Ovis aries: one gene and its partners. The main gene of each other region encodes a partner of the protein of the gene in region 4 in a complex. Links are inferred from orthologs where the notes say so. Each region holds a gene or a part of one and is shown on either strand. Other genes may lie near its edges. The genes, in order: MAGOH, UPF3B, MAGOHB and CASC3.

Evidence for each region.
Region 1: CASC3 (region 4) and MAGOH share a complex: the UniProt entries of both Homo sapiens proteins name them as parts of the mRNA splicing-dependent exon junction complex. The link is inferred for Ovis aries from reciprocal best matches to the Homo sapiens genes CASC3 and MAGOH.
Region 2: CASC3 (region 4) and UPF3B share a complex: the UniProt entries of both Homo sapiens proteins name them as parts of the mRNA splicing-dependent exon junction complex. The link is inferred for Ovis aries from reciprocal best matches to the Homo sapiens genes CASC3 and UPF3B.
Region 3: CASC3 (region 4) and MAGOHB share a complex: the UniProt entries of both Homo sapiens proteins name them as parts of the mRNA splicing-dependent exon junction complex. The link is inferred for Ovis aries from reciprocal best matches to the Homo sapiens genes CASC3 and MAGOHB.

The regions. Positions count from the first base shown.
Region 1 is NC_056054.1:27,772,800-27,780,798, reverse strand, and holds the start of MAGOH (protein mago nashi homolog), read left to right. Parts: upstream 1-3,695; 5' UTR 3,696-3,765; coding exon 3,766-3,853; intron 3,854-6,423; coding exon 6,424-6,482; intron 6,483-7,999. UniProt on the Homo sapiens protein: Required for pre-mRNA splicing as component of the spliceosome. Plays a redundant role with MAGOHB as core component of the exon junction complex (EJC) and in the nonsense-mediated decay (NMD) pathway.
Region 2 is NC_056080.1:114,676,793-114,684,256, reverse strand, and holds part of UPF3B (regulator of nonsense transcripts 3B), read right to left. Parts: intron 6,735-7,464; coding exon 6,691-6,734; intron 6,260-6,690; coding exon 6,077-6,259; intron 5,695-6,076; coding exon 5,656-5,694; intron 3,829-5,655; coding exon 3,668-3,828; intron 3,334-3,667; coding exon 3,039-3,333; intron 1-3,038. UniProt on the Homo sapiens protein: Involved in nonsense-mediated decay (NMD) of mRNAs containing premature stop codons by associating with the nuclear exon junction complex (EJC) and serving as link between the EJC core and NMD machinery.
Region 3 is NC_056056.1:204,666,234-204,673,747, forward strand, and holds part of MAGOHB (protein mago nashi homolog 2), read left to right. Parts: intron 1-3,844; coding exon 3,845-3,903; intron 3,904-4,766; coding exon 4,767-4,877; intron 4,878-6,969; coding exon 6,970-7,052; intron 7,053-7,514. UniProt on the Homo sapiens protein: Required for pre-mRNA splicing as component of the spliceosome. Plays a redundant role with MAGOH in the exon junction complex and in the nonsense-mediated decay (NMD) pathway.
Region 4 is NC_056064.1:40,179,731-40,187,721, forward strand, and holds the start of CASC3 (protein CASC3), read left to right. Parts: upstream 1-3,749; 5' UTR 3,750-3,894; coding exon 3,895-4,422; intron 4,423-4,791; coding exon 4,792-4,819; intron 4,820-5,297; coding exon 5,298-5,335; intron 5,336-7,991. UniProt on the Homo sapiens protein: Required for pre-mRNA splicing as component of the spliceosome. Core component of the splicing-dependent multiprotein exon junction complex (EJC) deposited at splice junctions on mRNAs.

The DNA of each region.
Region 1 (7,999 bases), on a different chromosome or scaffold from region 4:
GTGCTGCATCTCACTAGTTGTACTGACATCATCTTGGTGAATTAAAAACCAAATGTGGACATTTGTAAACTCGGTGCACTGTTTCTAGAGAGAGATTAAATTCCTTTTATTAAATCTGAAAGTACTGTGATGCTTTAATGAGTGGGGAGTGAGCAATCTTGTGAGATAAAGACTCTCAATATTATCATTCCTATTTTAGAGATGAGAAAAAGAATGAAGACACCGCCCAAAGTCAACAGTTATGTTTCAGTTCAGTTCAGTTCAATCGCTCAGTCGTGTCCGACTCTGTGATCCCATGAATTGCAGCATGACAGGCCTCCCTGTCCATCACCAACTCCTGGAGTTCACCCAAACTCATGTGCATTGAGTCGGTGATGCCATCCAACCATCTCATCCTCTGTCGTCCCCTTCTCCTCCTGCCCTCAATCCCTCTGAGCATCAGGGTCTTTTCCAGTGAGTCAACTCTTCACATGAGGTGGCCAAAGTACTGGAGTTTCAGCTTTAGCATCAGTCCTTCCAATGAACACCCAGGACTGATCTCCTTAAGGATGGACTGGTTGGATCTCCTTGCAGTCCAAGGGACTCTCAAGAGTCTTCTCCAACACCACAGTTCAAAAGCATCAATTCTTCGGCGTTCAGCTTTCTTAACAGTCCAACTCTCACATCCATACATGACCACAGGAAAAACTATAGCCTAGACGAGATGGACCTTTGTTGGCAAAGTTATGTTTAGTGCCCCCAAAATACATATAGCACACGTGGTGTTCTCTCCCTCAATTTTCCTTCTCTCTCTCTTCATCTGGCTTAACTCCTATTTGTCCTGAGTACTATGCTTAGGGAGCCTTCTCTGTTCTCTCAGACTCAGACCTAACTCGTAAGGTTAAGTAACTCTGTGCTTCCACAACAAATTTTGCCTACTTGTATTCCAATGCTCTGCCTCTCACTCCCATGCCAATGAGATTGTTTTTACCAAGGTAACCCAGGATCTCCTTAATTATAAACCTTGGAAATACTTTCAATCCTTTTCTTCCTTGACCTAGAAGCAGCATATAACACTGTTGGCTCTCCTGTCTTAAAATACTCTTATTTTGGTTTCCATGATACCATACTCCTGATTTTTCCCCTACCTTTCTGGCTTCATCTTAATCTCCATTGTGAGTTTCCTTCTTCTAATCTTTCCATTTTACAATCCAGTCTACAACATTGCACAGAGTGATCTTTCTAGAATGCAGCCGGTCTTGTCACCAACACCCCTTTCCACTTTCCTGCTTAAAGCCCTTCATCTGTTTTCCTTGCATTTAAATCCAACAGCCTTGGGTTTTAACCCAAACTCCTTAACATGGGTTATAAGGTCCTTTGTGATTAGTCTTGTACCTCTTCTCCAACTGAATTACTATATTCTCAACTTTTTTTTTTTCTTTTTCTGTATTATAACCAAAAAGTTCTGAGCCCTCTGTCTGGAACATTTTCTTCAGGAAGACTTAACTTTGTCCCCTAGACTGAATTAGGAGCCCCTGCATGAGCTGCCATAGTATTCTGTGCTTCCCCTATTTATAAATTTGATGCCTACATTATAATTGCTTATATGCTCCTTGACTGCCATCACTGTATTCCCAGCACATGACACACAGTAGATGCTCAGTAAATTATGCTAACCTCAAATCCCATGGATGGAGGAGCCTGGTAGGCTGCAGTCCACGGGGTCGCTAAGAGTGGGACACCACTGAGCAACTTCACTTTCACTTTCAGACACATTAGACACATAGACCATGCTCTTTCAGCTATACTTTACTATGTGGTTTCATACCCCCAAGCCTGAAATTACCTTACAGCATGATTGGAGTTGGGTGTCCTTTAAATTTTCTCATCACTTTTTGATATTTGCCATGTCTCCAGATGCCCAGATTCATCAATTACATTATAATTTTTATAATTTCACTCTTGGAAAATAACCCTGTGGTAATTACCCAATGTCTCTAAATACTTAACTCTATTACCACCTCAAGACTGTTGTGAAAATTCAAAGAAAATTCAAAGAAATTAAACACACTCAGCCTAGGGGCTGACATTTATTAAGTGATTCCCTTATCTTTTTTATACAAGTCCCTTGTTACCACCCACATCCAGTGTTTTTTTAATAAGATGCCTTATAGCAATTTGGAGTTTGAAAAGTAGTTTTCAATTTCCAAGACATTGTTTTTTATTCTTGCAATAGTTCTGCCAGATGTGTAACATTACTGCTGCTGCTGCTGCTAAGTCGCTTCAGTCGTGTCTGATTCTGTGCGACCCCATAAACGGCAGCCTGCCAGACTCCCCCGCCCCTGGGATTCTCCAGGCAAGAGTACTGGAGTGGGTTGCCATTTCCTTCTCCAATGCATGAAAATGAAAAGTGAACATTACTATGCTCACTTTAAAGATAAGAAACCTGAGGTCCAAAAAGTTTAATCAGTTCACCTTTGGTCACAGTGAATCACTGTCACACGAGGGATTATTTTAACACAAATCTCCAGTGACATTCCCCCCACCCACCACCCCAGCACCCACTCTTCATTCTATTATCAATACTTTTTCGGGGAGAAAAGTAGTAACGGCAAGATTGGGAATGAGATTCAGGGACGACGCCAGGAGTCGGACACTACTGAGCAACTTCACTTTCATGCATTGGAGAAGGAAATGGCAAGCAGCCTGAAGACAGAATAGTGCTATAGTCGCGCGTGCTCAGTCGCGTCTGACTCTTTCGCAGGCCCTCAAAATGATGCCATTTCAGCACTGTCTCTAGAAACAAATCCGTTTTCCATTTGGCTGGAACTTAGACGAGCTAAAGCAGGTTTCTAATAAGAGTTTAGTTGCCCTTGGCCTAATCAAGGAGGAAAAAATTTTCCACAGCCGAGAAAACATTCGCAGTCAACCACTTAGGCCTGAAAACACACGAGCTTCCTGGACAGTAGTTCACAGTCCTGATTCAAACTGCGGAGAAAAAGTAAACACCAACACACAGGTTCACTGTGGATGATTTTGGCTTTATTGGTTTGGAACCAGTATTTTTTAGGTGCTCCGTCCGAGGCGATTCAATTGCGCGGATGGAGTGGGAGATCAAACATTCAAAACTTAACTCTTACTCACAACAACTCATCTAGAGACCAGTGAGGCAAAAAGGGGAAAAAGTGAGGTAGAAAGAGATAAAATGGAGAATAAGTGCGGGAGAGTTAGTTGCAAAAAAAAAAAAAAAAAAATGGCAAGGTCCACTGTGGATTTAGGGAAAGCGTCGCTGAGAAGTTTCTTGAACTGATTTTTAAACAGCAGAGTTCAGTCGGAGCCAACGTTAGAGACGCGCCGCGCCGCGCTGCGTTCTCCCAAGAGGTCGGATCCTTTAACCCTGTTTTACTGATGGGACGACCTAGGTTCAGAGACGGTGAAGGGCCTATTTCGACTCACACTGTTGGGTATCCTAATTGAAACTGGAGCCTGGGCCTCAAGCCCAATGGGGATACTGACGAACAGCCCTCACCCTCTCCCAGTCGCAGGCCGAGGGGGCGGAGCTGAACAGACTTCGCCTCCGGGGGAAAGGGGCTTTATTCCGGCGGGAAGGGAAAAGTCGCCTGGTCCCATCTCCGGAAGTGGGAGGAGAGAGGGAGTCGCTCCGCGACGCACGATGACGTTTCCTAACGTCACTTCCTCGCGCCGCAGTAAACGTCAGTGTTGGGCGCCTTTAGCGGCGGTGCGGATTGCTCTTAAAAGTTTGGTCTTGTCTCCGTTTTGCGAGCCATGGAGAGTGACTTTTACCTGCGTTACTACGTGGGGCACAAAGGCAAATTCGGCCACGAATTCCTGGAATTTGAGTTCCGGCCCGACGGTGAGAGAAGCCTCCCGGCTCCCCGGGAGCGAGGACTATGCCTGGGGGCGGGAGAGTGGGGGGGCCGGGGATCCGTAATGTACGAAAAACTAGAGGAAGGGACCAAGGGTGTGAGGCGCCGATTTGGAAGGAACGATCCTTGTCCGCCCCACTGATTCTTCCTGTCCGTGTGCTGGGGCTTCTGTTTAGTGACGATTTTGACCATATTGCTTTATTCAACGAACCTTTCTTGAGCACCTATCTGTGCCAGTCTCACTTCCACAATCTGGGGTGTAGGAGTGAACGATAAACAAGCTTCCTCTCTCGTGGAGCTTGTATTCTTTTACTGGGAGGTCGTAAACAAAAAAATATCCCAGATAGTGTTGAGTGATCAGAAAATAAAATGATGGAACAATTGCTGATGGGCCGCTTTAAGGAAGGATAGCTATTGGAGAACTCGCTGAAGAGCCGGTGTTCGAGCTGAGCTCTGATTGACAAAGAAGGAGCCAGCTCGGGAAAAGAACATTCTAGGCAGAGATGAGCTAGGCATGTTTCAGGTGGCCATTGTGGCTGAAGAGCAGTGAAAACTCCGGGGAGAATAGTAGGAGATGATGTCAATTAGGTAGGCAGGGGCCACCTCATACAGTCTTGGTGAGTTTGGATTTTTTTTTCTAAGTGCAGCAGGAAGCAATTGGGAAGTTTTAAGCAGAGGTGTAATCTATTTTTGAGAAAGTATTGTAATTATTAGGTGCAGAATAGGCAAGAATGAAAACTACTTAACAGGAGATGGTTACAGTTGTTAAGAGAAAAAGGATGTTGGTTAGAACTATAACAGGAGATGGTTACAATTGTTAAGAGAAAAAGGATGTTGGTTAGAACTAGAGTGATAGTAAAAGTAGAGAAGGATTTAGGATACAGTTGGAGGCAGAACCAATAGGACTTTGCCAATTGATAGGATTTGGTGAGGGACCAATATGGTGAAGGAAAAGGAGTGAAAGATGGCAGAAAGCTTCCACTAAATGAAGGCATAAAAAATGAGCTTCTTGTAGTTCAGTTGCTAAGACTCTTTGGGACCCCATGAATGAACTGACAAGCCCAAATTGTGGAGAAAGTTATGTTAACAATGATAAGACAGTGTATAAGGTGTTGTAGAAAGAAACAGAAAAGACTCTGGGAGTGGAAAGAAGGCACCTAACCCATACATCGTTTACGGGTGAACTGTATTTTGGTTAACTCCAGCTCTGTGTGAGAGTCCTGTTGTAGGAATGAGGCTGGAAATGAGCTCAGCTTAGCCGGAAGCCACATTGAGGATTTTGGACTTTATCAAGAAGGTAGTGGGGAGCCGTTGTCAGTATTAAAATGTCAATATTAGAGTGACCCAATTGGATCCATCTGTTACTGTTTCACTCTGTCCACTCTACGGAGAATGAACTGAATGGAGAGAGACTTGAGGCAGAGACACAGTGCAGTAAGGCATCAGTTGTTTTCACTCTTTTTAGTGTGCCTTCTATAGGGAAAAAATTATCTCCTTTATTTCCTTTTATCTTCTTCATATCCACCATATATACCCAAATCAGCCTGTTTGATGAACAATGTTACAGAGGGCCTTGTATACCAAAAATGCTCAATAATAAAACCACAGCTTTTCTATCATGTTTAGAAAAGGAATAGATCAGTGTTTCACAGTCATATGTAAATATATGTAAAAACCATTTTATAGTTTTCAGAAACTTTCACAATTCTTTTGAGCCTCTGAAGGCCCTGTGTGTAGGTAGGTTATCAATCACTCCTATTTTCAGCTGAGGACATTAGCCAGCTGAGATACAATTTGCCAGTCACAAGAGTCTGTTCTTTTATCACACCTGAGCTGTCTTTTGCAAGAATTGTAAATCATTGTCAGCTGTAGTTTTGGCTAGAAGGTTATTTAATAGTGTTCACTGGGGAAAAAAAATAAATAACTTAAAGTTTGAGAATTGTTTTATTTAGTGGAAACACTGGGGACATAAGCCTGGGAGACAGGCTCTCAGATAGCTTTGAGGGACTATTCTGAAGAGGTGAGGGATGAGCCAGGATATATAGGAGGTTTTAGAGGGGAAAAAAAACCCAAAACAAACAAAAAACAGGTAGAACATCTAAAGGTTACTGTTAATAAAATACCAGACATCTAAAGTTAATGAAGTTAGCATTTTTCTTTGTATGGGAGGATGCTGGGCTCTTTGAAATCATTCCTTTGATATTCACCTTAACTGTCCAGGACCAGCATCCTGTTTTCAACATCCTGAATCCCCTCAGAGTGCACCCTTGGGGAAGGGGCTGGGGGTGGTGTGGCTGCAGTGGCTGATGGCTTAATGGCTTCAACAGCCTTTGTTTACTGACAAGGCAGGTGGCATTTTTTTGTTCACCAAAGCCTAAAGTGAAAAACTGAAAAGACTAGTGTTGCTGAAACACCAGAGGGGTAAATACTAAAACTATTAGACACTTTGAAGGGTAAGTTAGGATACATTTTAAGCAATAGCTGATAGTCTTGGTAGGCTAATGACGCTTTCTTTATGTTTTTATTATATATTGAATTTGTTTTTTGTCCCTCACAGGGAAATTGAGATATGCCAACAACAGCAATTACAAAAATGATGTCATGATCAGAAAAGAGGTAATGAATCTTCTGAGGGCCTTTCATTCACTACCATTTAGCCTTGTGTCCTGTTTTTATTCTTTCTGGGAGTAATGAAAGTGAAGGCGCTCAGTCGTGTCCGACTCTTTGCGACCCCATGGACTGTAGGCTCCTCCATCCATGGGATTTTCCAGGCAAGAGTACTGGAGTGGGTTGCCATTTCCTCCTCCAGGGGATCTTCCTGACCCGGGATCAAACCCAGGCCTCCTGCATTGCAATTGTGGGCAGACACTTTACCGTCTGAGCCACCAGGGAAGTCCAATCTGGGAGTAATACTGAAAGATAAAGAATAGGAAAGTATAAATGTCTCTGTAGACGGCTTCTAAAGTTTTTCTCAAATCCTCTTTTAGTTTTTCTTTAATAGTGATGAGTTAATAACTGGTAATCATTGAAGTCTTGCAGATCTTGGTTTTGAACCTTGAATCTTTTACTAACATGTGACCTTGGGAAAATTTCCTGGTTGAGCTTGATAAGTCTCAGTTGCTTCATCTGAGAAACATACCTGTCACTAACTTAGTGTTTGATATATTCCTTGGTGGTGGTTGTTCAGTTGCTAAGTCATATCTGACTTTGCAACCCCATGGACTGCAGTACACCAGGCTTCCCTGTCCTTCAGTATCTCCCAGAGTTTGCTCAAAGTCATGTCCATTTAGTTGGTGATGTCCTCTAACTATCTCATCCTCTGTTGGCCTCTTCTCCTCCTGCCCTCAATCTTTCCCAGCATCAGAATCTTTACCAATGAGTTGGCTCTTTGCATCAGGTGGCCAAAGTATTGGAACTTCAGCTTCAAGATCAGTCCTGCCAATGAATATTCAGGACTTATTTCCTTTATGATTGACTGGTTTGATCTTCTTGCTATCCAAGGGACTCAAGTCTCCAGCACCCAGTTCAAAATCATCAATTCTTTGGCGCTCAGCCTTCATTATAGTTCAGCTCTCTCATCTGTATATAACTACTGGAAAAAAAAATAGCTTTGTTTATACGGACCTTTGTCAGCAAAGTGATGTCTCTGCTTTTTAATATGCTGTCTAGGTGGGAGGAGAAGGGGACGACAGATGGCATCATCGACTCAATGGACATGAGTTTGGGTGGACCCTGGTAGTTGGTGATGGACAGGGACGCCTGGTGTGCTGCAGTCCATGGGGTCGAAAAGAGTCAGAGCGACTGAGCGACGGCACTGAGCTAGATTTGTCATAGCATTTCTTCCGGGGAGCAAGTGTCTGTTAACTTCATGGCTGCAGTCACTGTCTATAGTGATTTTGGAGTCCAAGAAAATAAAGTCTGTCACTGTTTCCATTTTTCTCCCATCTGTTTGCCATGAAGTGAGGGGACCGGATGCCATGATCTTAGTTTTTTGAATGTTGAGTTTTAAGCCAGCTTTTTCACTCTCCTCTTTAACCTTCATCAAGAGGCTCTTTGGTTCCTCTTCACTTTCTGCCATTAGGGTGGTATCATCTGCATTCCCTGGTACCTAGCACTCAATAGAGCTCTTTTAA
Region 2 (7,464 bases), on a different chromosome or scaffold from region 4:
TATTTTTATAAATAAAAAACAACTATTTATAAGCAATAGTTATCAAGTATTATTTTATATGCCCAGAGTAAATTTTGATAAGTTTACTGCCTAATTTTCTTTACTATCTCAAGATGTTCTGAATCAGCTTGAATAGTTTTTATTTAGAAACTGTGGTTGTTGTCTACCTCTCCTCCCCATCAGTAAATGGATTTTAAAATGCACCGCCACTTAAGAAAATTTTAGGAGTGAAAACAATAATAAAGAATGCCAATTCTTAATACTGCAAAGTCCCTGAAGTTATGAGCTCAGACACTAGTAACTTAGCACAAATATGACTCTCTCTTAATTCAGATTTGACAAGGTGACAACCCAGCTTGAGAATCTCTAGGTAACACTTTACATCTCAGGTTCCTAAATAGGCCTCAATATCATCACCAGGTACCTCTCAGTTCAAGTAATGTGTTTGGTTTATCACAATATGACCCTGGAAAACTTAAATGTATAGGCCTTTTTTCCCCTAATTCAACAAAAGACAACATGAGCCTTCCTTGTCCTTTCTCCCTGACATATGAAAGAGCCTTAAAGCATTATTCTCAAGCGAGTAATTCCAGCAAAACATTTCACTGTTTTAACAAGAAGAAACATTAAAACAGATGAGACTGCCACATAGTATTTAGAGAAGCTGATGATGGGGCTGCCAGTGTGCAAAGATAGTACAAGTTAAACGTCAACAAGGGCAATAACTGATAATAACAAGTTGGAGTTCACCAAGTATTTCTAAATCCACAAGTTATTTAAAGACTAAGCAGAACAAAACTCATTGATAACCCCTACAAGTTGCTGGGACACCAACGCATTACTCTGAATACTGTAAATAAAAGGAATGGATCAAGTGCTATTTTTGCCTTTCCTGTGTGAACTGAATTTCAAGACTAACCAAATAGTTGATAAGGGAAAACAACTCTCTGTGGAAGAATTTCAGATCATAAATGCAACAGGAAAGGCAGAATTTGTATATATATCAACATTTTCCAATCTCTCCCTATGAAATAATGAATCTAAACAACATCATTAGGAGAAAGGCTGACAAAATCTTACATGGATCAGGCTTACAATACCTGAGCTAACTGATCAGCCATTTTTCCAACTTTTTATCTCAAAAAATTTTAAATCTATAGAAATGTTGCCAAACTTGTACAATGAATACCTAATACCCTTCTCCTAGATTCATGATGATTAACATTTTGTCAAAAATGCCTTTGCTGTCTCTAGTGTGTATGCAGGCACACACATACATAGATACATTATTATTTTTGCAGAACCACTGGAGAATAAGTGCTTGTGTATCAGCTTGTATATCCTCGGAGCAAGGACATCCTATCACATAACCATAATACCATTATTATTGATCATATGATTCTTCATTGGTAATATTTCAGCTTGTGTATCCTAAGAGCAAGAACATCTTATCACATAACCATAGTACCATTACTATTGGTCAATCTTAACATCACAATAAACGGATACCAAGACATTGTATGCTTCCTGATACAATGCAGTAGGAACTGCACACCACCACCTATCAAGTATTCTTGCCAACAATTGGGTCTGAATATATTAAGGCCTCTAGATGAGGGGGCCACCCACCTCTTTCTGTGAAAAAAGTTTGGCTCTCAGCCATGCTTATTCTTTTACATGCTGTTTATGCCTACTTTCCTACAAAGCTTACTGGTTTTGACAGAGACCACGTGGCCCACAAAAGCCTAAAATATTTACCATCTGGCCCTTGAACGAAAAAAAATTTCTGACCCTGCTCTAGATATGACTACTGGTTTTCAAGGAAACATAGAAGGTAGCGGAACATGTTCAGTGTTACCACAGGGATATAATTAGCCACTCTGGACTATTAGACGCTCTAGAGGGCAAACTGGTTTCTGCAACAAAGAAATGGTAGAAAACGAAAGGAGGAGGAATTACTTAGATTAAAAGAGACTTAAAATCGGATCAGTTTCCGGAAAGACTGATAAAAAAAAAAAAATAAAAATAAAAGAGACTTAAGGGAACATTTCAAGCAAATACAATTTGTGGACCTTGTTTAGAGCCTATAAAAAAGATGTTAATGAAAAGAGATGTTAATGAGACAATTGGGAAAATCTATACATTGGGTAGATAGGATGCTAAGGAGTTATTGTCAGAAATTCTTCTGTCTGGTGTGAAAATGCTATTAGGGTTATTTTATTAAGAAAAATAATATTAGGGTTATTTTATTAAGAAAAAACCCTGGCAATCCAATGGTTAAGGCTCCACACTCCCACTGTAGAGAGCATGGGTTTCGTCCCTGGTTGGGGAACTAAGATCCCATATCCCATTTGCCTCACAGTGTGACCAAACTTTTTTAAAAAAAGTCTTTACTCTTTACATATTTACATATGTCTTTACATATTTAAAGAAGAAATTATCTGTCTAGGTTTTGCTTGAAAATAATCCCATAGGAGTAAGATGGGGTAGAGTAGAAAGAAAATTGGCCACAAGGTGATAATTGCCAAAGCTGGGTGATAAGTACATCCTACTACTCCTCTGTTCTCTCTACTTTTGTGTATGTTTGAAAAGTACTGCTACTGCTGCTGCTAAATTGCTTCAGTCGCGTCCGACTCTGTGTGACCCCATAGATGGCAGCCCACCAGGCTCCCCTGTCCCTGGGATTCTCCAGGCAAGAACACTGGAGTGGGTTGCCATTTCCTTCTCCAATGCATGAAAGTGAAACCTGAAAGTGAAGTCGCTCAGTCATATCCGACTCATAGTGACCCCATGGACTGCAGCCCACCAGCCTCCTCCGTCCATGGGATTCTCCAGGCAAGAGTACTGGAGTGGGTTGCCATTGCCTTCTCCGTTGAAAAGTATACACAAACTTTAATAAAAGGACCCCACCAAGACTGAAAAAAGATACAGATAAAGTTCCCCTAAAATTCCATAACAATGAGCTAGCCCTCTCCTTTATACTTGCAGGAAAAGACAAAGAAAATCCTCATGAAAAGAAGTTTAATGAAATGCAGCACCTTGTTTCTTATGCGATCTCTCTTAACCACTTCTTCTTTCTTTTCAGTTTTTTCTGAGCTGCCTACTGGCTCTGTACTTTCAGGCTTCTTTCCTTTATCCCGAAGTGTTTCTTTCTCCTTCTTCATTTCTTCTTCCTTTCTCTTGAAAGCCTTCTCTTTCTCATAGCGCTCCTTCTGCCTCCGGCGCTCTTCTTCCTGCCGCTTCAGCCTCTCTCTCTCCCGCAGGATGCGCTCTTGGTCTCGATCATAATCCCGCTCCCTCTCCCTGTATTCTCTGCCACTCTCATCTTCAGGTCTGCACGAAAAACAAATCTGAGAATGCACCCTTGAAGCTCTTCTAATCACAAGGAACACTCTGATCCTGCCTTGGCCACTCCAACGAGGCTGAACTTTCGGAGCAGCATTGAAAAAAACAAAAAAACTACTATTTTGAAAAGCAATTTGGAAAAAAACCCCAAGTCATTCAACCAGATTAAGATACTAAAATACTTGAAACCTGTCCTCCTCATCCCCATACCCCTCATAAAACCCAGTATCTTGATTCAGGTACAAGTCCAGAATGCAGCAGTAAAACTAGCAGCCAGAAACAGGTCGAAAACAAATGTACCCAAGAGCCCTCGACTACCGACCTCTTAGGCTTTTCATCTTTAAATTCACCCTCAGAACGCTTGGGCAATGTACAACTTTGCCCACTGGCTCTTTCATCACTCAGATTCTCTTTGTCCAATTTCTTGAGCTTTTCTCTTTTGTCCAATTCTTTTTCATCTCCTTTTTCTGGCTTCTTGAGCAGCTTTAAAGAGAACAAACTTAGGTTTATTTTGAAGGATGGGATTGTCTTCTGATTCTCGCAAAGAAAACAATATACTAAATATTTTCAATGCAGGCTACTGAAGGCCCCGTCTCTGCAGTACTCAAACTTTCAGGTGAACAAACAGTGCACAAAGAGCAGTAATTTGCTAAAAGGGTGCTATTAATGTGAAAGTGTTATGCACTCCAGTGAAGTGGTTTAATCACTTTGTGGCAATAGGATCAAGACTCCTTTGGCTTTAAATGGGTCAACCTTTGAGTAGATCAACCCTTACTTTCAAGTATGCCTTCTGTAGCAAGCCAGCATATCGGTATAACTTGATAGGAAAATATGGTACAAATTTAAAATGCTAGCCAGGTCATTATTGCTGGACTATTTTTACACAGTTATTAGAACAACAAATACCTTGTCACCAAAGGAGAGATCCATTGCAGGAATAATTTTGCCTTGAGTCTGAGAGTAGCTACATACTTATGATGGTACAATCATACTATCATTAGAGATGATAAGCAAGAATTATTTGGCATTTGATTTAAAAATCCAAATATCTCATACAACAGAACTGTGAAGTTCCATCTCTACTGAATAGGAACTGTTCAATGTCATATGTATATATGACAGAATGCAATTCTAAAAAAAGTGGTTTATAAAGTTCAGATTGTTAACAGAAGTTTATTATGCCGCTTCTACAAATCTCTCTAGAATACACCCCCAAGTGTTGGATATTCAGAGAGATTTTTAGGAATTTCAAGTCTCAGAGTGAAGGCATCATACAGAGTTTCATCTCAGTGTGAAGGCATCATACAAGCCACGAAGCTAAAGGCAAAGCATCGCGCATGAGACTTAAGCATGAAGTATTTCAGCACACAGACAGCCACTGAAAACAGTGAGTCCAGAGTGGACACTATAGAGGCACCAGTGCAAAGTGAGGATAACATGTGCAGGTTTCATTGCAAGTGTTCTTATTTCTCTAATGAACATCTTCGTCAGGAGCCAAGATGTTCATTATTCTAATAAGACTATTAACGAACGTCTCTAGCATAGCCGGCTTGACCTTCTGCCTTGCTGACAGAAATAGCGAGTCAGGTTGCTTGTAGCAGGGCAGACACAGAGATTGATAGAAGGAATTAAGACGAGAACCTCCCCACCCTGCCACCGCCAAGCCCCTTATCACCAGTGAGTCCTGGAGAGCCTCGGGGTGCCCTAGCGACTTGACCGGCTGAATTCTGAGGAGGTAAAAGGAGACTCAGCCATCATCTCTGTGAGATTTTCTCTGACTTTCTCTGCCATACTATGTACAAGTACTTCCCTGGGCAGTTTGCTGGAGCAAGGGCTGCCCAAGCCAGGCCCCTGGAAGGGAAGCAGCTAGGCTGGAGTCTTTCCACAGGTTTTCCTCTTCCTACATGCACTGTGTTAATCAGAATCTGCTGCTCACAGATTCCCAGGGAGACCCAAGAAGGTAACGTGGGGAATCATGTGAGAGGGGAGAGGATGTATATTCCAAAAACTCCCACAAGGCAGCCAGGTATGAGAGGTGTATAAAGGAAGGGGAAAGAGCTCTTAAGGCATGGCTGTCCTCTCACTGCACATTGTTGAAGCTTCTGGGTACACAGCAGAGCATCAGGAAATCATCTGGGTTTCTTTCTAAATCAGGAATTTAAAACGGTTCAGCTTTTAAGACTCAAGTCAGCCTGAGGGCATTTTCTACAGGTAACACTACCACCACCGCCACCAAAAGGACTTATTAACTAAGACCTGTGTGTGTGTGACATGATACTAGGTGCTCTGTATCATGTACTTGGTCCTTACATTTTTCTGATTCACAGCTTGTAACAGAAACCTGTGTACCTGAAGACAGTGGAAAACAAACAGATGAGGCAACTTCATGTATCAAATATGAAGGAAAAGCTGAATAAAACCCATAATTCATGCCAGCCAGCCCTACGCCCTTATATATGAACTGAGAGAATAATAATCCAAAATCGAACATTTTCAATGATTATAAATAACACTGCACTAAAGAAATCCCATGTAAACTACTTAATCTTTTAAATTATCTTAAATTAAGAGTAATACATGAATATTACAGGAAAGATTCACTCCCTCCCAAAAAAGACAAAAACAAAACTAAAATAGTTTACACCAATACAAGATGCATGCATATTTGAAGAAGTAGATATAGTACATGCAATTTTCAGCAACATGCAGTCGGTTTAACTTATGTTCATACCTTAATCTTTGGTTCATCCTTTAATTTGTCCCTTTCTGGAACTCTGTCTATCTTCTTTAGCTTTTCTATATCTTTGCGTTTTCGTTTCTCTTCTTCTTTCCACTTTCTCCTCTCTTCTTCTCTTTGTCTTTTTCTTTCTATTTCTCGCCGCCTCCTTTCTTCTCTCTTTTCTTCTCTCATCCTCTGCAAAGAAACATCAACAGTCTTCAGACAAGGTAATTACCACCAAAAACATAGTTCAGAAAGTACGGTGGGCACCCACTTAACTGTATCATCTTTCCTTCCCACTTTCCACTTCCTTAACCCCCTCCCGACTCCATTCAGAATATGAGAGAGAAAAAGACCACAGCCTGCTCATCAGTTTCCCACTGCTGCCTTGCTACAGTATCCAATTCAAGAATGCCACTGGAACAAGCTAAGGAACCCCTAGCTCTGCAGAGTGAATCTATGGTCCAACAACCAGAGTGAAGGAGCAGGTCAGAGAGCCAAATATTTAAAGAACAGTGGTAGAGAAAGCAGCTATCCCTACTGTACGATCCCAATGCTCTTAAATTTACAGAATGCGAACCAATGAAATAGAAGTATTGTGAGAACCAGAAAAACAAAAGGTTTACCTGCTTGTTTTTCAGGAAGCTCAAAAGTGGAGTTGTCTTTTTAGCTACACAAATGTAAACAGATTATTAATAATACTTAATCAAACCCTAGAAAGGAGTCCATTTTCTGACATTCCCTGCCAACCACCCGAGGTGGGAAAACTACACCCCTCAAACAGTAAGTTCACAACTATCTTATTGGAAAGAAGTTTTATAATAGTCTACTTAAATTAGGAAGGTTTAAAATATTAAAAGTTAAGAAATTTAAATTAAAACAATAAAACAATTTTTAAAAAGAGCAATTCCTGGTGTCAGTGAGAATAAGGTGTGAAGGACATTCTCTTGTTTTACAGATGGGAGTATAAATCTGTTCAACCAGGAAGAAACTGGGATAAGGGGCTAAAAATATCTAATACTTTTGACCCCGTAATTCCACTTCTGGGAATTTATTTTATGGAAACTATCAGAGGTGGGCTTATATTATGAAAGTGAAAGTCGCTCAGTCGTGTCTGACTCTTTGCAACCCCATGGACTATATGGTCCATGGAATTCTCCAGGCCAGAATACTGGGGTGGGTAGCCTTTCCCTTCTCCAGGGGATCTTCCCAACCCGGGGATGAACCCCAGGTCTCCCGCACTGCGGGTGGATTCTTTACCAGCTGAGCCACCAGGGAAGCATCCATTAATAAAAACCAAGTTTTAAAAGAATATTTAATTCATTTTTCAATATTCTGAACAATGCTATCTAATCTTACAGCTAGCTTTTTGAAAAGCATACTTCCTTTGGAGAAATTCC
Region 3 (7,514 bases), on a different chromosome or scaffold from region 4:
AACTCCTGGAAGCTAAGTTCAAACTCATGTCCATCGAGACAGTGATGCCATCCAACCATCTCATCCTCTGTTGCTCCCTTCTCCTGCCTTCAGTCTTTCCCAGCATCAGTCTCTTCCAATGAATATTCAGGACTGATTTCCTTAAGGATGGACTGGTTGAATCTCCTTGCAGTCCAAGGGACTCTCAAGAGTCTTCTCCCAACACCATAATTCAAAAGCATAAATTCTTCCACACTCAACTTACTTTATAGTGCAACTCTCACATCCATACCTGACTACTGGAAAAACGATAGCTTTGACTAGAGGAATCTTTGTCAGCAAAGTAATGTCTCTGCTTTTTAATGTGCTCTCTAGGTTGGTCAGGACTTTTCTTCCAAGGAGTAAGCGTCTTTTAATTTCATGGCTGCAATCACCATCTGCAGTGATTTTGGAGCCCAGAAAAATAAGTCAGCCACTGTTTCCGCTGTTTCCCCATCTATTTGCCATGAAGTGATGGGACCAGGTGCCATGATCTTAGTTTTTGAATGTTGAATTTTAAGCCAACTTTTTCACTCCTCTTTCATCAAAAGGCTCTTTAGTTCTTTGCTTTTCTGCCCTAAGGGTGCCGTCATCTGAATATCTAAGGTTATTGATATTTCTTCGGCAATCTTGATTCCAGTTTGTGCTTTATCCAGCCTGGCATTTCGCATGATGTACTTTACATAGAAGTTAAATAAGCAGGGTGATGATATACAGCCTTGACATACTCCTTTCCCAACTTGGAACCAGTCTGTTGTTCCATGTCTGGTTTTAACTATTGCTTCTTGACCTGCATACAGATTTCTCAGAAGGCAGGTAAGGTGGTCTGGTATTCCCATCTTTTGAGGAATTTTCTACAGTTTATTGTGATCCACACCATCAAAGGCTTTGGTGTAGTCAATAAAACTGAAGTATATGTTTATGTACTGTTGAAGCCTGGCTTAGAGAATTTTGAGCATTACTTTGCTAACATGTGAGATGATTGCAATTGTGCAGTAGTTTGAACATTTTTTGGCATTGCCTTTCCTTGGGATTGGAATGAAAGCTGACCTTTTCCAGTCCTGTGGCCACTGCTGAGTTTTCCCAATTTGCTGGCATATTGAGTGCAGCACTTTCACAGCATCATCTTTTAGAATTTGAAGTAGCTCAGCCGGAATTCCATCACCTCCACTAGCTTTGTTCATAGTGATGCTTCCTAAGGCCCACTTGACTTTGCACTCCAGGATATCTGGCTCTAGGTGAGTAATCACACCATTGTGGTTATCTGGGTCATGAAGAACTTTTTTATATAGTTCTGTGTATTCTTGCCACCTCTTCTTAATATCTTCTGCTTCTGTTAGGTCCATACCATTTCTGTCCTCTATTAAGCCCATCTTTGCATGAAATGTTCCCTTAGTATCTCTAATTTTCTTGAAGAGAATTCTAGTCTTTCCCATTCTATTATTTTCCTCTATTTCTTTGCATTGATCACTGAGGAAGGCTTTCTTATCTCTTCTTGCTATGGAAGAACTCTGCATTCAAATGGGTATATCTTTCCTTTTCTCCTCTGCCTTTAGCTTCTCTTCTTTTCACAGCTATTTGTAAGGCCTCCTCAGATAACCATTTTGCCTTTTTTGTATTTCTTTTTCTTGGGGATGATCTTGATCACTGCCTCCTGTACAGTGTCACAAACCTCTGTCCATAGTTCATCAGGCACTCTGTTTATCACATCTAATCCCTTGAATTTATTTCTTACTTCCACTGTATAATCATAAGGGATTTGATCTAGGTCATACCTGAATGGTCTAGTAGTTTTCCCTACTTTTTTCAATTTAAGTCAGCTCCTAGTCTTGTTTTTGCTGACTATATAGAGCTTCTCTTCTTTGGCTGCAAAGAATATAATCAGTCCAGTTTCAGTATTGACCATCTGGTGATGTCCATGTGTAGAGTCTTCTCGTGTTGTTGGAAGAGGGTGTTTGCTATGACCAGTGTGTTCTCTTGGCAAAACTCTGTTAGCCTTTGCCCTGCTTCGTTTTGCACTCCAAGGCCAAACTTGCCTGTTACTCCAGGTGTCTCTTGACTTCCTACTTTTGCATTCTAGACCCCTATGATGAAAGGGATATCTTTTTTGGGTGTTAGTTCTAGAAGGTCTTGTAGGTCTTCATAGAATCATTCAACTTCACGTTCTTCAGCGTTAGTAGTTGGGCCATAGACTTGGATTGCTGTGATATTGAATGATTTGCCTGGAAACAAACAAATCATTCTGTCATTTTTGAGACCGCACCCAAGTACTGCATTTTGGCCTGTTTTCTTGGCTATGGGGGCTACTCCATTTCTTCTGAGCAATTCTTGCCTACAGTAGTACATACACTGGTCATCTGAATTAAATTCACCCATTCCAGTCCATTTTAGTTCACTGATTTCTAAAATGTCAGTGTTCACTCTTGCCATCTCCTGTTTGACTACTTTCAATTTACCGTGATTTGTGGACCTAACATTCCAGGTTCCTATGCAGTCTTGTTCTTTACAGCATCGGACTTCACTTCCATCACCAGTCACATCCACAACTGGGAGTTGTTTTCTCTTTGGCTTTGTCTCTTCATTCTTTCTGGAGTTATTTCTCCACTCTTCTCCAGTAGCATATCGGGCACCTACCGACATGGGGAGTTCATCTTTTGTGTGTCATATCTTTTTGCCTTTTCATACTGTTCATGGGGTTCTTGAGACAAGAATACTGAAGTGGTTTGCCATTCCCTTCTCCAGTGGACCACGTTTTGTCAGAACTCTCCACCATGACCTATATGTTTTGGTGGGCCTACACAGCGTGGTTCATAGTTTGGTTGAGTTAGACAAGGCTGAGGTCCATGTGATCAGTTTGATTAGTTTTCTGTGATTATGGTTTTCATTCTATCTGCCTTCTGATGGTTAAGGATAAGAGGCTTCTTAATCTTCGATTGACTATTTTCAGGGAAGTTTCATTTCAGAACAGTAGTTCTCATCTGCCACCACTGTTTCATAACCTTTCTGTCAGTAATAATGAGACCCAAAGAGAGCAGTTCCTTAGAGATTCACCTTATTAAGATAACCTCTCATTTTAGAGGATCTGGATCACGTTACAGCTGTACCTAGGCAACTGACCAGCCATGAGGAGAAGCGTACATTCAATGTAAATCAGAAAACAAACTAGCCAGTTTTTATTTGGAAGCAGCATGTAGTTTGTATTGCTTCTTAATTACAGTTCTAAAATAGTAGCATTACCAGAATACATTGAAGTGAAGGAAAATAAATGAGAACATTTTGGAGTCGTTAGAAAGGCGTGTATATTGGTACAAAGTAGATTTAAGTCTGAATCTTGTGTGACTCTGAGCAAGTTACTTAACTCTCTGTTTTTCTTAACTGTGTATAGGTGAGAGAATGAAACCTACTTTTTAGGGTTGTTTTACAGATTAGATGAAATGCTCTGGGTAACTCAGCACCAATAAGACATAAATAAGACAATCACAATAAAGTAAGGTAAACTTTAGAAGAAACATTAGTTCTTTTTTGAGATTCCCTATGTAAATCATGATGTTGCTTAAGAAAATGGGTTTTGAAAATGACTCTCTTATAATATGAAATTATATTGAAGGCATAGAGTATAAACAGTTGATTGGCTTCAACTTCAGCCAGCATAACAGCAAATGCGTATCCAGCATTGATCTTATGCCAGGAGGGAGCAAATATTAATAAAAGTAGTAGTGTAATATAGATTTTACCTTCAAAATTGCTTATGATGTCATTTCTTTATTTATTATTATCTTTAGCAGTTTTTGCTGTTATAGGTTGAATTTTTTTGTACTTCCTACAGGAAAACTTAGATATGCCAACAACAGCAATTATAAAAATGATGTCATGATCAGAAAGGAGGTACGTTCTTTTCAGATGTCTAATTCTTTGTGTTAAGCCTGTTTTCCTCATGTCTGTATTTTTACTTACCTGTTTAAAGTACACATAAGATTTCCCTGGTGGCTCAGGCGGTAAAGCGTCTGTCTACAATGCGGGAGACCTGGGTTTGATCCCTGGGTTGGGAAGATCCACTGGAGAAGGAAATGGCAACCCACTCCAGTACTATTGCCTGGAAAATCCCATGGACAGAGGAGCCTGGTAGGCTACACTCCATGGGGTCGCAAAGAGTCGGACACGACTGAGCGACTTCACATTCACATTCACATTCAAGGCTATAGAGAAGAGGCTGATTTATAGATTGAAAAAGGATTCTTTGTAGCATCTATAACAGCAAAAGAATCAATCTGAATATATTAAGTTGTAGTCTCACATTTGAGCATATAAGTTAATTCATTTTATAATTAACTTGGTCTTTTTACTCTGCTCATTATTTAAAATTAATTGACAATAATGTTTTAAACACAGGATGCATTTTAAATGAAAGCCTCAAAAGTTAGGTGTAAGAAAGAGTTCCCCGCACTGTGATGTGTATTTGAATTTGACACCGTTCACCTCATAAATTTTGTGTTAACCACTCAGATATTTGATACAAGATTTTAAGGAGGGAATAATGATACAAAGGGGGAAAAATATGTTTTAAAGGAAAGGGCAAGAGAGTGAAGAAAAAGCAATAAGAAGGATGAATGATTCTCTCCTTTTAGAATCAGAATTAAATTTTTCTTTAATATTCTATTTAAATACTCAGGGTTTGTAACTCCGTTTTATTATTTCTGTCTAAGTTGTGTCAAGACATAGACCCTAACATTTTTATTACTTGCTATCAGGCTTATGTACACAAGAGTGTCATGGAAGAACTGAAGAGAATTATTGATGACAGTGAAATTACAAAAGAAGATGATGCTTTGTGGCCTCCCCCTGACAGGGTTGGCCGACAGGTTTGTATTTAATAATTCTTTAAATGCATAAATTGTAAACATTATTAATAGAATTGTTGTGGTTCTCCTTATTTATCTAGAATAGATCCTCATTGAATCTTGGATTTTTTTCATCTAGTAGGCACCTGGTAAATGGTTTATAATTGTATTTCACTTTGCATCAATTTGTGAGCTACCTCCTAGTAATAAAGGAGTCAGTTTAGACATCTTTCTGAACAGTCTTCTCTGCAGCCACCGCAGCTAACCTTAGGGTGTTTTCACAGTATTAGAATTAATTTCCATTATAGGTTAAGTACTTTTATAAGGACTAATGAGTTCTTGCCTGATGAACTGTAATCCACCAGGCTCCTCTGTCCATGGGATTTTCCAGGCAAGAATACTATAGTGGGCTGCCATTTCCTCCTCCAGGGAATCTTCCTGACCCAGGGGTCAAAGCCAAAGCTGTGTCTCTTGCATCTCCGGCACTGGCAGGCAGATTCTTTACCACTGGCACCACTTGGGAAGCCCAATGATAATAAATAATAAAAATAGGTAGGAAAAAACTCAAATGTTTGATGAATTTGAGAATTAGGATTCTCACTATGTAAAATTCACTTTCTCCAGATATATAACTTTGAAAATTCGTATTTGCTTCTTTACACTCCAGAGAGATTTGATTGGTTTCTTTGTTCAAACTGACCATTGCCTTTGCCTGTCATATTCCCTTCAGAAAAATTGATATTTCTCAAAGAGCTGCTGAAGAGCTCTGAAGGCCTGATTTCACTCTGTAGAAAGACAGTTTGATTTCTGAATTGGGTCTTTTCAACTGCTGGAAGAATGAGATATGACTGCAGGAGGAAGAAACACTTAATTTCGCTTTTGTGTGTTCCTGAGGATTATACTCTATAACAACTTCTTTGACTAGAAGAAAATGTGGAGAATAGATGCTGATGCTCTGTAGCAGTAACTTAACGCTTCTATTTAAAGAAACATTATTTAGGAAAGCAAAGGTAATAGTTAACAGTATTTATTGTATTCACTGTGAACACTTTTAAGAAGTAAATTTAAATTTCCATTTGTTTTAGACACACATATATATATATAGGCATTAAAAATCAGAAACAATAGCAGCAAACCTTTTATTTATCTCTTAGACTCAAGGAGAGAGCAGTGTTTTCATCTACCCACTTGATCATGTGTTCATGTGTTTTGGATAATGGGGAGGATTACTTCTGCCGTTGAAGTTGTCTCTTGGATCTTTAGGTCAAAGATTTTGATTGCTTGAGAGTCTTAGTTAATTATCCATTCTGTGTGTGTGCCATAAAGGGGCATAATTAGATCTTTTCTGATCAAATACAGATCTGGGAATGTCTTTAATGGCATCTGTTAATTTAAACTGAAAACTTAATACAGACATAGCCTCTTAATTTTTCATTTTAGATTTGCAGATAAAATGTGGAGAAAAATTTATACTTAATTTTGTACACAAATCTTTCAGTTTTACAATCCAAGAGTTAAATATTAGTACCATCACATATTAGTGGTTGTAAATACAAACAGTTTTTTTTTTTTATCTTGCTTTTGAGTCTTGGGCTTTATATTTGTAAAATCAGGCAATAAAGCTGACCTGAGAAAGACAGGCTTTATTAGCCCAGTTTTGGGGATTACAAAGAACATGTTTTTAAAGTCCCTATCAGCAGGTCTGATACACAGTAGGTGCTAAATAGTGCTATTATTAGCATTATGCAGTTTATTTGTAGAGCCTGGTAGAAAGGATAAATGTATTTGTATTTATTATATTAAAAATAGGCTTAAACCCATATTCTTAGTTTTTATTGACATCACTATTTCTGTGTGCCTCTGAAGTCTATCATTCATTTGATAGCATCTTCTTTGTCAGATCTCTGGAAAGCAGTTCTTGATTCATCCTAATACTGGGGAACTCTGAGGAGTTGAGATTTTTACTTTACAGACATAGTTAACAAATTGTTTCTTTTTTATTTTTACCCCCTCCTCTATTACGGCTAGAAAACTTGCAGCTAAAATCAGGACCTCTTGGTTGTAAGAGGTGAATTTTTACACTAACTACATTTCTCTGTTTTATTTTTTTCAGGAGCTTGAAATTGTAATTGGAGATGAACACATTTCTTTTACCACATCAAAAATAGGTTCTCTTATTGATGTCAATCAGTCAAAGTGAGTATTAAAAGCATTAATAAAAGTTAAAGCATTTTGACTAAATTGACATGATTTATTAGGCTTATTTTAGAACCATAGCCAGTTTGATGAGATTAATTGTATCCTGTAGCAATTTATTATGTATATGTAATCCTCATTTTTATATTAGTAAAGACTTATTATCAAAGAAGTTAACAGTATATTTTACTGATTCCCAAAATTAGTCTGGATGCAGCCCCACAGAGTTTAAAAGAAATCTTCTTGAATTTCTCAGCCTTATTAGTTCCATATGACATCATTTGCCTCCTTGGGTTTAATACTTGAAAGAAATGGAGAAAAGCCTGATATAGCTTAAGTATGGCTGTAGCCATATGTGCCTTCCCAAGCTCTGTGTGTGACAGATACCTCTTACTATTATCTGAAAAAGCTCTCTGCCTCCTTCTACTGCTTTCCACTCTTTCCCCTCAAAATGTTCTCCTA
Region 4 (7,991 bases):
TGCCTGCATGGCACTCTTCTCGCCCCGTATACCCTTCCTTACAGTATGAGTATAGCGGTTTTTACCCTAAAACAAAACAAAATTTCACCAGGAGCTTAAGGACCAGATGAGGAATAACAAGTGACGTGATGAAGCAAGTCATCTTCACAGGGTAGAAAAGATAATGGCGAGTTGATTGATAAATATCTGAAAACACAGTTGTTGTCTTAAAACTGTTCTGTGATACAGCCATGTGGGAAGGGATGTTTGGCTGTGATTATTTTCTTAAGTTAATGGGTAACTGAATGTCTTTCCCCACCCCTCAAGAATAAGATCTTCTGAAGAGAGAATGAGGATGGTTAGCTTGGGGCCAGCTATGGCTCTAAACAAAAGCAGCTGGTGTTGGGAACGGCACGCCAGATCCTGTACAGATGTCTCTGTGTCACATCACCTCTTGAGTATTCCTTAGTTGGGTCTTATCCTTTTAGCTGAGCTCTTGGTGGTGGGTTAGAGATTTAGGGAGGGTGGGGGATGTATGTAGAAATATGTGCTTCCTCTGGCTGGCAAATGTCTACATCTTGAAACAAACAGATGTACCTAATGAGCTTCTCCAGTTCATTTTGTAAAAATAGATTTGTATGTGTACCATCTTGGTTCTCCCCTCCCAACCCTCACCTCCCCCATTTTGTTAAAAAATTTCAGGACAGCACTCCAGGCCACTTTGGTCTCAGTGTAAGATCCCTGTAACTATCTGGAAGGAAAATAGAGCCAAGACCTCTGGTCTTAAATATATAGGAATTGCCTTTCTTTAGTCTTCAGGACTATTGTATGAAAACAAGTAGGGGTCTAATCTCCTAGAAGGTAGGGGCTTTTATCCTTGAAGAGAATATGTCCCCAGATTATTAGCACTTTTAGAGGAGAAGCCAAGGTATGTAGGGTGTGTGGCCGGCCCATCAGTGGAGCATGAGAGAATGGGATACCATTGTGGGAAGGGAAGAAAAAAGTTCCTCAGGGGCCTCCCACTGCTAAAGCTTTTCGTGAGATGTTGGTCTGTGCTCCCTGAGTTTGACTTTTAAAGGAATTACTCGGGCAGCACATGTAGTATTCTTGGATGATCTTGCTGCTCTTATTTCTCCTTTGTGTGTGTGTGTGTGGCTATGGGTTTTCATTTGTAACTCCATCTGCTTAGGAGAGTGGGCTCTCCACAAGGGAACCTGCTGTGAACTTCTTTGCAGCAAGAATGTAGAGAGAAATAGGACTTATTCCACTAGGGGCTCTCATCTCACACCTTAAGGAGAGGAAGGAGATTTCTAGAAAAACTAGGCCAGATTTTCTTTGTTCTACCATCATTTTAATATGGCAAACTGTTTGGCTTTCCTACTCTGACCTATGTTATGTTCCTTTAAAATGTGCCCAAGAAGAAAAAAGACCAGTCAGTGTCTCTTTATTTTATTCTTTGATTCCTCTCAGTTTCTTAATTTTCAGCATTTGTTGGATTCCTTTGGATATGGGTTAGCAGATATCACCTTTGTTCCTACCCAAGGGACTTCCCAGATTCTGAACTCAAGTTATACTAAGAGGAATCCATGAGGTGCTATTTGGCCAGACTTATGTGGATTCTAATTTCCTTGATTTTCCCTCTACCTAGTATCTCTTTATTTTATTGCCCCCTTTTCTAGATCAATTCTCCTTTGATTTGGACATGTTGAAGTTTTTTTGAGAAGGAGGTTGGAGAGTAGATGAGCAAAGTTCCAAGAGCAAAAAGACAGTGTGTCAGAGTGTGGGGGGAAATTAGTCTTATTTTTTCCCTACATGGGATACAACACTGTGAAATTCAATCTTCAAGTGAAGGCCCTGCCGTTCTCCTAAAACATAGTTCTTTGTTTCTTTCTTTAACAAAGTTTAAGCTAGTGTTAATAAATTAAAAAAAGAAATTGCTTGTCTGTCCACTTCAGCTTTGTTTTATGCCCATTTCATATTGTTGTCTGTGTTGTAATTCATACTTTTGATACCATTTCTGATGTGTAAAATTGGTTGTCTTGTAAATATCTTATAAAGAGTTCAACTGTAAATAAACTATTGTGGCTGTTAATTTTTGAACTTCTGCTTCAATTTATTAGATTTATTGGGAAGCATTAAACAGTTTTGCTTGGATATTTTAAAGCACTAGAAAAAGAAATCCACTTTCACAAAATAGAAAAACACCATTTTCCCTTTTATATGAGATACTAACTCCCATTTGTGTATGAACACAGTGTATGTTCCATCTCTTTGTCCTGGGTTCTTCCTTACAGATAATGGGCAATTAAAAAACAATAAGAGATGATAGGATGGTTGGTGCCTGGTGTCTAATTAATAAAACCTCAGCTGGAAGGACCTTATAGGTCATGTAGTCTGACCCAAGTACATGATTTCCCTCTGACAACATTCCAGACAAATGAAATCCAGCTTCTTCTCTAACACTTTCGTTTTCTCCTGTCCAGTTTTTCCTAAATGTTAGAGAACTCTTCCTCATTGACAAAATCTAAGTTCTTGTAACTTGAGCCCACTGGTTCTTGCTTTGCTTTCCAGGGTGACAAAAAAATCAATTCCTCCTTTCCTCATAGTCCCTCAAATACTTTGCTGTGGCAGTCCCAATCTTCATGGTTCACATTTCAGAGCTCTTACAATTGTTCCTCAAAAGAATCTTGAATGTTTCAGTTCTCTGGATGAGTGAACAATTTGCTCAAGTCCATTTAAAAATTGAATGCAGACCAAACAACTGAAAGGCAAAGTGGCAGACTATCACTTTACTTATTTAGACACTAAATTTGGCAACCTTACTATATCAATTTACTTTGTGATTGATAGGATCCTCTAGGTTTTCTTTTTTTTAACACTTTAAAAATCATATATCCTTCATTTTGAGCCCAAGCAGTTGGTTTTTGGACCTGTATTTACAAGTTGTCACATTTGACCACTTGTTTAACCAGTTGAGCTCTATTTGGATCCTGACTATCTCTGAAGGCATTCATAATACCGTCTAGTTTCATAATGTCTACAAATTTGATAAGCATCAGTAGCCTTGACCATATTATTTGTAAAAGCATTACACGGGACAGAGTCCTGTGCTATGATAGTGACTTTCCTCGGGTGTATATTATTGTGTACTCCTTTAGGTGCACAGTTAGCTCATGCTTCTTATATGTTTTTTATTATGGTACAGAGAAAATATACAAATTTTTTTTCCTTGCTGAAAAATGTGTTGCTAAAATCACAGCATTCTGTCATCTACCTGCTTGGCAAGAAAATCATTTCGGGATATTAAACCAATGCCCGTTCCTATGATTATCTCTAAGTCGGTTCCAAAATTTTAGTAAGATTACCATCTGGTTTAGACGGTAAAGAATTCGCCTGCAATGTGGGAGACCTGGGTTCAATTCCTGGGTTGGGAAGATCCCCTGGAGGAGGGCATGGCTACCCGTCCGTGTATTCTTCCTTGGAGAATCCCCATGGACAGAGGAGCCTGGTGGGCTACAGTCCATGGGGCCGCAAGGAGTAGGACACGACTGAGCGACGAAGCACATCGTATTAGCCTGCACTTTCAGGGAGGTGATGGCTGGGGTGGGAAGACACATGAAGGGGGAAGAAATGAGAATACAGGGGAAACACTACTGCTGCAACACTAAATCCTCGGGCTTCCCTACAGACAACTGGTTTCTCCCCCGCCCTTTAGTTTAAAATAGACTGATAAATCTCAAGCAGCACAACGGCTTCAGAGGTTTCTTGATTCGTGGTTTTTACTAAGCAAACGAATGCAGTCAAACGATCTGCTTCAAACGTAGGTAGAAATGAGAGATGAAAAAGAAAATCATAAAACAACTCTAATGCCGCAGTGAAGCTGTGACAGGTCAACACTATCCACTCAAGCCCAAGATGGCCGGGCAAGGACCGGAGCCGACTGCCCGCCCAAGAGCAACTCTCCTCGCCAGGGGCCCAACCGCCGGGAAGTCAGGGGCCTCACCACGCCCCCTCATGTCACCAATTACGCAATTCCGCGCACCCGCAAACGTGCTGCAGCGTGCCAGCTCCGCCCCTAGCCCCTCCCCCCGAAAAACGGGGCGAACAGCGCCGCAAGTGAAGCATGCTGGGACCGGCTCTCAAGCCTCCCGGCAGCCCCTGCGACGGGCGGGGTACGTCAGGATCTGGCCAGCGGCGGCCGTTCTCCGTAAGATGGCGGACCGGCGGCGGCAGCGCGCTTCGCAGGACACCGAGGACGAAGAATCTGGTGCCTCCGGCTCAGACAGCGGCGGTTCCCCGGCGCGGGGCGGCGGGAGCTGCAGCGGTAGCGTTGAAGGCGGCGGCAGCGGCTCTCTGCCTTCCCAGCGCGGAGGCCGAGCTGGGGCCCTTCATCTGCGGCGAGTGGAGAGCGGGGGCGCTAAGAGCGCTGAGGAGTCGGAGTGTGTGAGTGCGCGCGGGCGGGGCGGACCGGGGGCGGGGTGTAGGTGGTGATGGGAGGCTGGGAGTTGACTGTAGATGCTGAGGCGTAGTGTGTTGGAGAAGAGGAGAGCGATCCCGGTGCGGTTTGCATCCGGAGCTCCAAGGGAAGAGAAGGGATTGAGGGTTTGTTGGGGGACAGGCGGAACTGCTGCGGATGGAAAGCGGATATTTATTCAGAAATTGGAACTGGAGGTGGATAGATGGGGCCTCCCTCAGATCTTGTCTGTTAAAGATATACCTTCCCTCGTCTCCCTTTTCAACCATTTTGTGTTCATTCTTCGTTTCTCCACCCCCTGGAAATCATAGAACTAACCCATGTCTTCTTTCCTTCAGGAGAGTGAAGATGGCATCGAGGGCGATGGTGAGTAGCATCATGATAGAGATCTTTGCCCCCAGACTCAGGTCACCTGTCTGCAGCAGTTGACATCCTCTCAGACTGTTCAGTGGAGAAGGAAATGGCAACCCACTCCAGTATTCTTGCCTGGAGAATCCCAGGGACGGAGGAGCCTGGTGGGCTGCTGTCCATGGGGTCGCACGGAGTCGGACACGACTGAAGTGACTTAGCAGCAGCAGCAGCAGCAGACTGTTAAGGGTTTTGGGGAGGGTGCCACAAAGGGGCTCTTTGTAGTTTAACGTTCAAGAGCATAAGTTTTAGCTGTATGATCTTGGGAAAGTCAAAGTCACTCTTTAAACCTGTTTTCCATTTGTAAATGGGGACTCATAGGTTGATGTCAGGATTAAATGAGAGTTTTAGCTTGACCCACAACAAGCACTGGAAGATGTATTTGTAAAATTTCTGTTCCATTTTTTTTTCTTTATATGTTTCTGTTTTCTTTCAGCTGTTCTCTCGGATTATGAAAGTGCAGAAGATTCAGAAGTGAGTGTGATAGATTCTTTTTCCTATGATGTAGGTTGGAAAATGTGTTTTAAAAATTGTACCCACCTGTGGTTTGAAAGCATCTGACCTGTTTGTTACTCCACTTGTGCATTCTTCATTTATGCTTCTGAAAAACTATTATAAAAAGTGTTGTTCAGTTATAGAGAGGGAAGCTTTGTATAAACCTCTTCAGGCCACATGTGTTACACTGTTAATAGCTGACCTTTCCCCCTATCTAAAGAAAATAAGATGCTAAATATGAGAATGAGAACATTCTTTGGCCCTTCACAGGCTGTTTCACACTCCGTTTTATGATGCCTCGGTGGTGAAACCAACCATTTGGGTATTTTTTTTGAGTATATCTGAAGACCTCAGAAGGGTAGGATTCTGAGTGGTTTGTGTCAGAAACATTTCTCAGTTTATGGATGAGGTTTTCTGTCTTTAGCAGAAAGTTTCCCTAAGCCAGATGTTTGTGAACTTAGTTTGCTTTGATTGGATAAACTAGAGATGTTATCAGAATGACTACTTGTTTCCTGGAACTGTTGAATAGAGCTCTGATTTATACAGAAAGAATTGGATTGTGGATTCAAAGGTTCATTCTGTAAATTTTGTAGAACTGTTACTACATACTAGAATTACCATTAAGCCTTGGAGATGCAAAAGTGAACACTGTAACAAAGTTCCTATGTTTCGGAATCTTACAGCTTAGTAAGGAAGTCAGACAAACATTGAGGAAATCATAGGACTTGGTGACAACTGCTGGCGGTTGGGTTAAATAAGGTGTTAATGACTGGGTACTGATTCCATATTAGGCAGTCAGAGAAGAATAAATTGGAGTTAGCCAGGCAAATCATGTTCTAGGCGGAGGGAACAATAGCTGCAAAAGCTCAGAGATAGGAGGGAAGGTTGACTATCTGGAAACTTGGAAGTAGTTTGGTGTGGCTGGAACATCGTTGGGACAGGATGGATACCAGAAATAAAGGCAAATTATAGAGTAGGGGTCAGATCATGCAGGGATTACTTCTTTCTCTTTATTAAATGCCTTCTCAGTGCCAGGAGCTGTGCTAGGCCCTGGAATAAAAGATACATGGTTCTGCTCTCATGGAATTTACATTCCAGATCAGAGAGGGAAAATACAGACAGTTAAGTAATTACAAAAACCTTTTGTTAAATGCCATGATATGGGACGCATAGGGTGCTTTGGGAGCACATGGCAGGGGCAGCTAACTGAGTATAGGGTGTTTGGAAGTATTTACAGGAGGGACTCTTCAAATAGAGACCTGAATGATGAGTAGGAGTTAGCTAGCTAGAATTTTCTTAGCAGAGGAAACAGTCCGAGAAGAACGTCCAGAAGGGGTGGGATTGGAGGATAGTGAGTTGCAGGACATGGAAGATTTAGTATAACTGGTGGTAAGGATGAATCTCAGTCTAAATCTTAAAGCACTTTATAAGCCTGGTTGAAAAAGTATTTGGATTTTATTCTAAGAAAGTAAAACAGGGTTTTAAACAAGAGTATGATATGGAGTATGGATTAGACTTAAATTTTAAAGCAGTGTTTGTCAGATCCAAGGAACGTCTACATGAAAGAAAATCCTGTTGAAACAGACTCTTGCAGGAGGGCAGACTCAGATATTTATATGTTAACAACATCCCAGGTTGATTCACAGTAATATTTTAAAATTATTGTCTTTAACAATTGTTTTGTGTGCAGTGGGGAGAATTATCTGAAGGGAGCAAGATTAGAGGCAGAAAAACTAGTTAAGAAAGCTACTGTGGAAGACTAGGAAAGCAGAAAATGTGGCGGCAGTGGCAACAGAAGTGGGCAGCACTGGCAGCCATTTAGGCTGTGGGATGGCGAAACGTGGTGACTGGTGGTTGACTGACTTTCTGTGAAGTCAGTTGTAAAGTTACCCACAAAGAATTAAAGGAGGATGAGAGGTTTGGGAGTGAGTAATGTTTGCAGTAGTCATTAAAGAATGGAAACATCGGAAAGGCTGCCAGGCAATGTGGAGTATTCAGTGAGGTTTGGTGATTGTGACTTTGTAGCAGTTTACCATTATGTATATAATGAGTTTGGATGTTACTCTAACAGCAAAGAAAGAAAGGCTGGCTATTGGAGGCTTAACTGGAGGAGGATCTGAGGATGAGGGAAGACTGAAGACAGAGCTGTTAAGAGAGTAGTCCAAGGAGCGTGATAGTGCCCTAAAGAAGGGACAATGGCAGTGGCACCGCAAGACGTAGATTTGAGAGATATTTAGGTATTATTATTAATAACAATTTCTTGATTGATTGAATGTGGAGCCTGAATTAAGGAGTCAGAGAAGAGAATTCTGCTGAAACTGGAAAGACTGCCGTTTTGGTTCCTATAAGCTTTAGATGCCTAGCACTGTTTGACCTCTCCTGAAGGGAGATGTTGATCCAGGTGAGGGCTGGGACCTGACCAGATGCCTGTGATAGAGCCAGAAAGTTTACTGACAAGAACAGCGACAGCATGGTGAGGGAAGGGAATGGGGTGAGGGAGCTTGGTGATCTGGGTTTCTCTAGCTTCATCCAAAGCCCTAGAATAATGCTGAATGTTTTGACTCTTGCTCATGAGTGTCCTCTGTTGTTTTGTCCCAAGACTGACTTCTGCCTCACATAACCTGTCTGCAATCCA